2 linked regions of the Alligator mississippiensis genome follow. The protein of the gene in region 2 purifies or fractionates together with the protein of the main gene of each other region. This does not show direct contact. Links are inferred from orthologs where the notes say so. Each region holds a gene or a part of one and is shown on either strand. Other genes may lie near its edges.

Region 1 (3,742 bases), on a different chromosome or scaffold from region 2:
GACTGGCCGGGCAGGCAGCCCCTGTCCAGGAAGATTCAAGCCGGTCTTTAATGCTCAAGACATGCAGCACAACTCACGCAGTCCTTTCCGCCCTCCCCTGTTGGAGAACAGCTCCGGCACGCGGCCCAGCTGGCCCTGCTCTCCGCAGCCGCATGTGTAGAGGCTTCCGTCTGTGGCCAGCGTGACCAGGTGGTCATTTCCTGGGGTGACAAAGAGGGAAGGGGGGGTAAACAACAGCCCTTCCTGCTGCACTCCCATCCTCCTGCTAAATGCACGGGTGTCTGCGACTTCCCCTGGAGAGCCACCTTGCTGGGAACCCCCGGGAGACTGCCAGAGACCGTGCCCAGCTCCAAAAGCCACAGAAAAGCCTCACTATGCAGAGAGAAGCCAGAAGCTTTCCTCTTTGAGCTAGCCCAGAAGAGCCAAGGCGCATATATGCATTGAGCGTGCAATGCTAACGCTCAACGGCATTTCACTCTTGCATGCCACGAACACCTGGCTGATCCCAAGCCCGCCAGCTGCTAAACCTGCAGGCAGAGATGCCCACTTTTCACATCCTGACTTGACACAGTTGTGCTGGTAGGGCCTAATAACAGTCACCAACGCCCCTGTCTGTGGTCTGGGCACACCTCCTTGGCTCCCTGCTTCCAAGGGACAGAGGCGCTGCATGCCTGGGGTCAGCGAGAAAGCCTGGGCTCGACAGCAGCAAAGGAGGGATGCTGGATTCTCAGCACAGCCGGTGGCAAAGAGCAGCGAGGGAGACTCCAAACCTGGTGGGAGCAGCTCATCCCCCAGGCACAGGCACCAGGCTCACCTGAGACTATCTTGATGATGGATGACCGCAGCTGCAGCTCCATGGGCACCACGCTCTTCTTCATGGGCTCCAGCAGGCCGATGACGCCGTTGTTGTCCTGAGAGCGGAGACGAGACACAAGGAGGGTCAGTTCCCAACTTGGGAAGACCCAGCAAGCTCTCAGCGCCCGGGCAGCCGGCTTACCCGGAAGGAGCCCCAGAGGAAGACGCGGCCGTCGTCCGTCAGCGCTGCGGTGTGGCTGTCACCGGCAGAGACCTGCACGATCTTTTCCTCCAGCTCCACCAGGCCCGGCCTAGTCTCCGAGCCCTCCTCGGAGGTGTCGCGTCCCAAGGCCCCCTCGTCATTGCAGCCGAAGGTGTACACCTGCACGTGGAAACGTGGCAGTGAGAAAGGTGCCCAGTGGCACAAGGAGACGCCCGGCTCCAACCCAGAGATCTACCAGCCAGCCCGCCGTGGATGACCATGGGCATGGAGACACACACACATCCATGGGGTCACTTACCCTGGTTCTGCATGCCCACGCCCAGCCCGCTACCCCCCAGGGTGGCTCGTAGGAGGGGGCTAGTATGAGACCTCACCAGGGCAGCAGAGAAGAGCCTGCTTGCTTCAAGCCAACAGCACCAGGCAGGGCTCCCAGCCAGCAGCACCCTGCCCTGGACTAGCCTCAGCTCAGCTGGAAGAAGCCTGTTTCTGCAGGCAAAGCTGCCTCCCGTCAGGGATTCTCTCAGCCCAGCTACGCCGGCCAGGGGGAGGGGGCTGCTGGGGACTTTCCGCTGCCCCCCTTGCCAACACAACTATGCCAGCAACCTGACACAAGCCAGCTCCAAGTGAGGGTGCCCAACAAAGCCCCCAGGCCTTTGACTGAGCCCATCCCGACACTGCAACCCACCGTGGGCGAAGGTGCCGGGGACTCACCTTGCCCGTCACGCTCAGGCAGACCGTGTGCATGCCTCCTGCTTCCGCCTGGATGATCTTCTCCGGCAGCTGCACCAGGGCCGGCCGCTTCCTCTCCATCACGTCCTCCCCGAGGCCCAGCTGCCCAACGTCGCCCTGCCCCAGCGTCAGCACCAGCCCAGGCTCTGTCCGGTGGGACGCGTGGCAGACTGCACAGGAGGAAAGGAAGGGGAAGGCTCGAAAAACCAGGGCGCAGGCGGCAGGGTCATGAAACGGCACCTCGAGACGGGCCTTCCAAAGCCGTGGGAAGGAGGGGCTCACCCAATGCCACCCTCCTGCGCTGGGCACCAGTGAAAGGGACCGGGGGCTGCAGCCAGACCTGCCCCGTGCTGCCCACAGGTGTCTACACAAGCTGTCAGGGAGCAGACACAGGGGCACGGGGCACGAACGCACCTGGGCTTTGCAAGCAGCGCCGCAGCCTGCCTCCTCCCAGAGAAAGACCGCACAGGGGGTCAGAGGCCTGCGACGGCGGAGAAAACTCTGCAGACCTACCTTTAACCCTCTTCTTCTCCGGAGAGCCATCCTCGGGCAGCGGGCTCTTCCTCGCCGCGCGCTTCCCGGACATGCTGCTCTGCACCTGCGCCCCGGAAAAGAAGAAGGTGAGAGATTGCCAGGAAGCCGGGTTGGAAAACAGAGAGAAGCCAAGAGAGGCCTCCCGGAAACCCCGGATTTGCTGCAGGCTGGACATGCGGGAGGGAGGGAGGGAGGCAGGCCCCGGGGCTGGGGGAGCGCGATCCCACCCCGGCCTGGCCCGGCCCGGCCCGGGGCTCGGGGGCAGCGCCCGGGTTTGAACTTCCCGCGCTGGCAGCCGCGCAGGGCAGGCCCCGAGCCCGCCGGGCCCCCCCCGCCTCCCGGCCCGCCGCGCTCGGCTTCCGGGCACCGAACGTTCGGGCCCCGGCCGCGTTCCAGGGCTGGAACGTTGGGACACGCCGCGTTCCGTGCCCGGAACGTTCGGACCCCGCCGCGTTCAGTGCCCGGAACGCTGGGACACGCCGCGTTCCATGCCCCAGCGCCACGTGGGGCCGCACCGGGCACCCCCACGCCGAGCGGGGGCGGGGACGCCGAGCCCCCGCGCCGGAGCCCCCGCCGCTGCGCCTCGCCTCACCTCCGCTCCGCTCCGCGCCGCTCTCTGCCCCTTGCCCCCCACCGCCACCGGCCGCCACTCGCTTTAATCCGGAGCATGCGCCCGAGAGCCGGGCACCGAGAGGGACAGCTCGGCGCCCCCAGCCGGCAGCCGCCGGATCCTGCAGCGCGATCCCGAGCAAGCCCGGCCTCCCCCGGGCCAGGACCGGGCGGGGGTCATCGCTCCGTGCACACGGGTCACTTCACGGACCGGGCTCCAACCCCCGGGCGGGGAAGGCAGGAGTGTGCAGGGCTCAGAGGACCCCCCCGAGGAGGCCTGAACCTCCTGCTTCCTACCGGCTTCTGTCCTGCAGCTTATACCCCAACCTTTTTGCCCCAGCCGCCAGCAGCAAGCCTGGGGGACTTCAGCCTTGCCTCCAGCGCATCCTGCCCCTGGCACAGACATGCAACACAACCACCTCATCTTGCTGCAGGGTAGCAACCGAGGCCATCACGCAGCTCACCCGAGCCATCATGAATCTCTTACTCTTAGTTCCTCACTGCGGAAGACGAGAGAAGCGAGGTGTTGCAAGTAGCCCCACGCGCTAGGTTGTGTGGCTCTTGACGTCGGTGGGAAGTTGGGGCAGTTCTCCAAAGGTGGTGCCCGCAACATATTTTGCAGATGCACAAGGCCCCGTGCTCTGTTAAGAGCGAGTCAAGATGCCCAGCCTTTGCAAAGTCATTTCTCAGATTCAACTTCCCCCGTCTGTTAAACAGATACAAACCAGCCACCCAAGAGCAGAACAAGAGCAAACACCCAGCAGCCCCCAGTTGGTAAAGACAAAGTCCCAAATCGTCATTCATCGATGCACGTGTGAGCTCAGTAGGGCAAGGATCTTCCCGGGGCTCACA
Region 2 (3,742 bases):
CCCTCATTCCAATTTATATAACTAAATAATGCTAAACAGGTTTTCTATTTATAGATAAAACAGAATACTACTACTTAAATACCAATGAGAAATATATGAACTTTGCTTTAAAATCATGAAATTCATTAATTCAGCATGGTGGCAACACATGAATATCATCGTTCAATTTTTAGTTACATTTTTGCATCGTTAGCATTTTTAGTGTAAATGCCAGCATGTATAGGACAAGTTTATCCAGAAAGATATACACCAAATCTAAAAAAAGTGGCTTATAGACTTCAAAAAATCCTACATAGTTGTCATGTTTTTCTCTGGATTCCACACCTCCTTTAGGATTATACAAAGGACAGATACAGGAGTGTAAAATAGGCTGAATAGTACACAAGCACACTGACACGCTTAGTTCCTTTTAGCTCTGGAAGACTCCCTCTCAACTGTACCTCAGACAAAGCAGTAAGTAGTATTTAGTAAAAAAAAAACCAAAAAACAAAACACCAAACCAAAAAAACCGCCCAATCGATTCAATCTTTAAGAACAAATAACCCCCCTCTTCACCCAAATGCACTCAGTCAGACACACCCCTTTCAGTTTGCATCTGCGCTCTCTAACCAGGGAACAGGGTAGCCGTTTTTCAATTCAGCCAACATTTAAATCAACATATTCCACTAGTAACCACATTTATTTTAAGTTTAAATCTCCTTCAACCACTTTAAAACAAGTGGTAAAAACACACTTCATCTTCCACGTGACTAAGGAAAGTTAGCCCCACGGAAGCAGAAAGGAAATGTTCGGATTAGAGCTCTTTGCCACTCCCAGCATTATCTTCAAATGACCTACCTAGTCTTGATGTGAAGTACCGAAATGGCGGCTTTGTGGTCAATGCCAGCCTCCCTCTGATCAACTTGATTCCTTACTTACTCCTAGCCGAAATGATTACCTCAGAACTGTAACGTTTGATTTACTACACACCACCTCCCCACATGAACCAAAGCAGAGTTTAAGCATTACCTCCAAGTGCTGCACTAGATTAACTCAAAACACTCCTAATAAACCTGGATACTGACAGCAAAACAAGTAAAGGAAAGACAACTAAACAAGTCAATGAAAAATGAAAGTAGGCCACATGGAAAGAACCAGATGTTTATAGAAGCCCAAAAGAATGAGCCAACCGTTCATGCAGTGGAGCCAAGCCTGAGCAGCCTTGCAGAAGTACAAAAACACTTGTGCTGAAAGCAAAGTCTGTGGCTACATAACAGATCTGCACCCTGCTTCTAAAAGACCTGGGCTGCTGGAATAGGGTGCACTTCCAAAGAGCAGGGGGAAGGAAGGATAACCTCTAGGTCAAATTCAACTCTACAAAAGGCGACAACTGCTTAAGGCTTGGGGGGAAACAGTAATTTCATTTAAGCACAGGGCTAGCAGAAAATCCCCACCACGCCCCATTTTAGGCTAGGAAGTGGCCCAACCTGCAAGGACAAGTCACATGTGAAACCACCCACCCACCCACCAGGGGTGCGAATAATCAGCTCCTTTCCATCCCGCGCACACAAAATCCCTAATAAAACTCTCCAACCGCCTGCATGTGCACACGTGCTGGGGGGGGCAGGGATTCAAGCACACAGGCCACCAGAAAGCAACTTTCCAGGCAAAAAGCCGCGTGCGCGCCCGCCGCGTGGCTCCAGCGCCCTCCAAAGCAAGAGCCTTCCGCTTGCAGCGGGAGCTCCCAGGCACCCTCCCCCCGCCACTGCAGCGCGGACACCACATCCCTCCTTAAACACATCATGATTATCGTTATTATTTTGATGCAAGCCCCCCCCCCCCTGCGCGGGCGCGGGCACGGACGGCAAGGCCCGGCGCGACGGCGGCGGCAGGGCCACCACTGCAGCCCCTCCCTCCGCCCGAGCCGCGCGCTCCACACAGGCCCCCACGTGACGCGGGGGGACGTTTCAATCCTGCTGCACAGACACACGAAAATATTTCTGGAAACTTCCACTCCTAATAATTTGCAGATCCCGACCCGCCGCCCCCTCCCCCCGCACCCCACCGCTTCCCGCCAGCCTCCCTCAACCCCTCCGCGAAGCCCGCGGCCGCCCCTGCCGCACACGCGCCTCCTCCCCCCCGCGGCACTCACCCGAGTGGAGCTGGCAGCCTTTGAAAATAAAAAAAAAAAATGAAGGGGGAAAAAAAAAGGGGAGGGAAAAAAAAAAGTCGCGGGAGCCGCCCCGCGCCTAGGCCGCTGCTGCCCCGCGGGCGGGCGGGTGGACGTGGGTCCCCGCCCGCCGCCGGGAGGGCTCGACTGTGCCCCTGCTGCCGCCTCCGGGCCGGGCTGCGTGCGCGGGGCTCCCCCCGCCGCCTGCGCGCCGGGCCAGGCCAGGCCGGGCCTGGGGGTGCGGGGCCGCGCGCGCTCACTGCGCCCCCATGTCCCTCCCCCCGGAGCGGCGGCGGCTCCGCAGCTGCGCTCGGCCTCCCGGAGCGGCGGCAGGTCCCCCCCACACACACAGGCACACGCGGTGGCGGAGGCGGCGGCGGTAGGGACTGAGCGCGGCGCGTCTCCCCCTCCTAGTGCCACAGGCTCGGAACCGGCTCAAACCGGTTCAGACTGGGAGATTCCATCTCGGTTTAGTTTTCAGCCCATGGCGCCGCGGAGCGTTTGGAAACCTCGGGCCTCCGCCCAGCCGCCACTCCCATTGGCTCCCGCCGGGGCCGCCGCGCAAGCGGCTGTGCCTCTCATTGGCCGGCTGGCCTGCCCATCTCTTGCGAGGCTGAGAGGGGAGGGAGGGGGGAGGAGAGGACCCGCCCCCTCCCCAGCAGTCATTTGAGCGCGCAAGGAGGTGGGGAGGAGGGGAGTGGTGCTGCTTTCTCACTGGCCGCGCTGAGCTGTCGCTCAAAGAGCGCGAGCCCGCCCCCAGCTCGCAACCCCGCGGGCGCGGGGGAAGGGGGCCTGTTGCTGATTGGCTGGGCGCTTGGAATGACGTAGAGGTAGAGAGCGGCGCTTTTTTTCTTTTTATTTTTTCTTTTTTTTTTTTAATGGCGGGCTTGTACGAGTGGAGTGGGGGTGCGTGATCACAAAGGCGCGTGGAGGGAGGGGCGGTGCTTGGCTTTGCCTTGGGGGGAGGGGTGGGGCCCCTTGGCGTTGCGCAGCGGGGCAGGGTAGCGCGGTCTGTTCGCCGCTGCCTGCCTGTCTCGGGGTGGAGAGAGGGCTGTAGGAGCCCGTTGCTCTGTAGGAAGCGGGGTAGATCCCTGGGCTCGTCCCTGCAGTAGCCTCAGTCCCTGCAGCTGCAACCCATGCTAGGAGAAGGTCCGTGCAAGAGGTTGACTTGCAAACCCGTTTCTGTCCTAAGAAATAAGCTCAACGTTTCCAGACAAGGTTCTTTGGATAAATGTGATATCTTGTATTAGGCCAACGCAAATAGTTGGAAAACTTCTTTGCAAGCTTTCGGGTATAAATACCCTTCGTCAGAATGAGGAAGCCCCTGCAGCTGGTGTACGCTCTTTCTGGAGGGAATGGATAGTAAGCCAGAGGCTGGTGTGCATGCAAGAAAGGCCGTCAGTTAAGATGCAAATCGAGGAGTCAGTGGGTGATTTTCTCATGAGAGAGAGGAATGATAAACTCTCCTGAGCACAAGGTTTGAACCCTCGCTTGGTGCCTTCTTGGACCTCTTTGATTTGGGTTTTGAACTGTCATGGCACGAGTTGGGCTTCCACATTCCCTGGCATTTGTACCTGGGGTTTCACTGTCTTG

Evidence for each region. Proteins that work in one complex are often made in the same cells at the same time.
Region 1: the proteins of XPO1 (region 2) and RCC1 purify together in Homo sapiens (affinity purification with mass spectrometry; 3 studies listed by BioGRID and IntAct, with this or other methods). This does not show direct contact. The link is inferred for Alligator mississippiensis from reciprocal best matches to the Homo sapiens genes XPO1 and RCC1.

What each region holds. Positions count from the first base shown.
Region 1 is NC_081829.1:2,129,212-2,132,953, forward strand, and holds the start of RCC1 (regulator of chromosome condensation), read right to left. Parts: upstream 2,954-3,742; 5' UTR 2,874-2,953; intron 2,346-2,873; 5' UTR 2,334-2,345; coding exon 2,261-2,333; intron 1,918-2,260; coding exon 1,730-1,917; intron 1,178-1,729; coding exon 998-1,177; intron 912-997; coding exon 815-911; intron 201-814; coding exon 78-200; intron 1-77. UniProt on the Homo sapiens protein: Guanine-nucleotide releasing factor that promotes the exchange of Ran-bound GDP by GTP, and thereby plays an important role in RAN-mediated functions in nuclear import and mitosis.
Region 2 is NC_081824.1:212,302,844-212,306,585, forward strand, and holds the start of XPO1 (exportin-1), read right to left. Parts: upstream 2,639-3,742; 5' UTR 2,500-2,638; intron 2,150-2,499; 5' UTR 2,132-2,149; intron 1-2,131. UniProt on the Homo sapiens protein: Mediates the nuclear export of cellular proteins (cargos) bearing a leucine-rich nuclear export signal (NES) and of RNAs.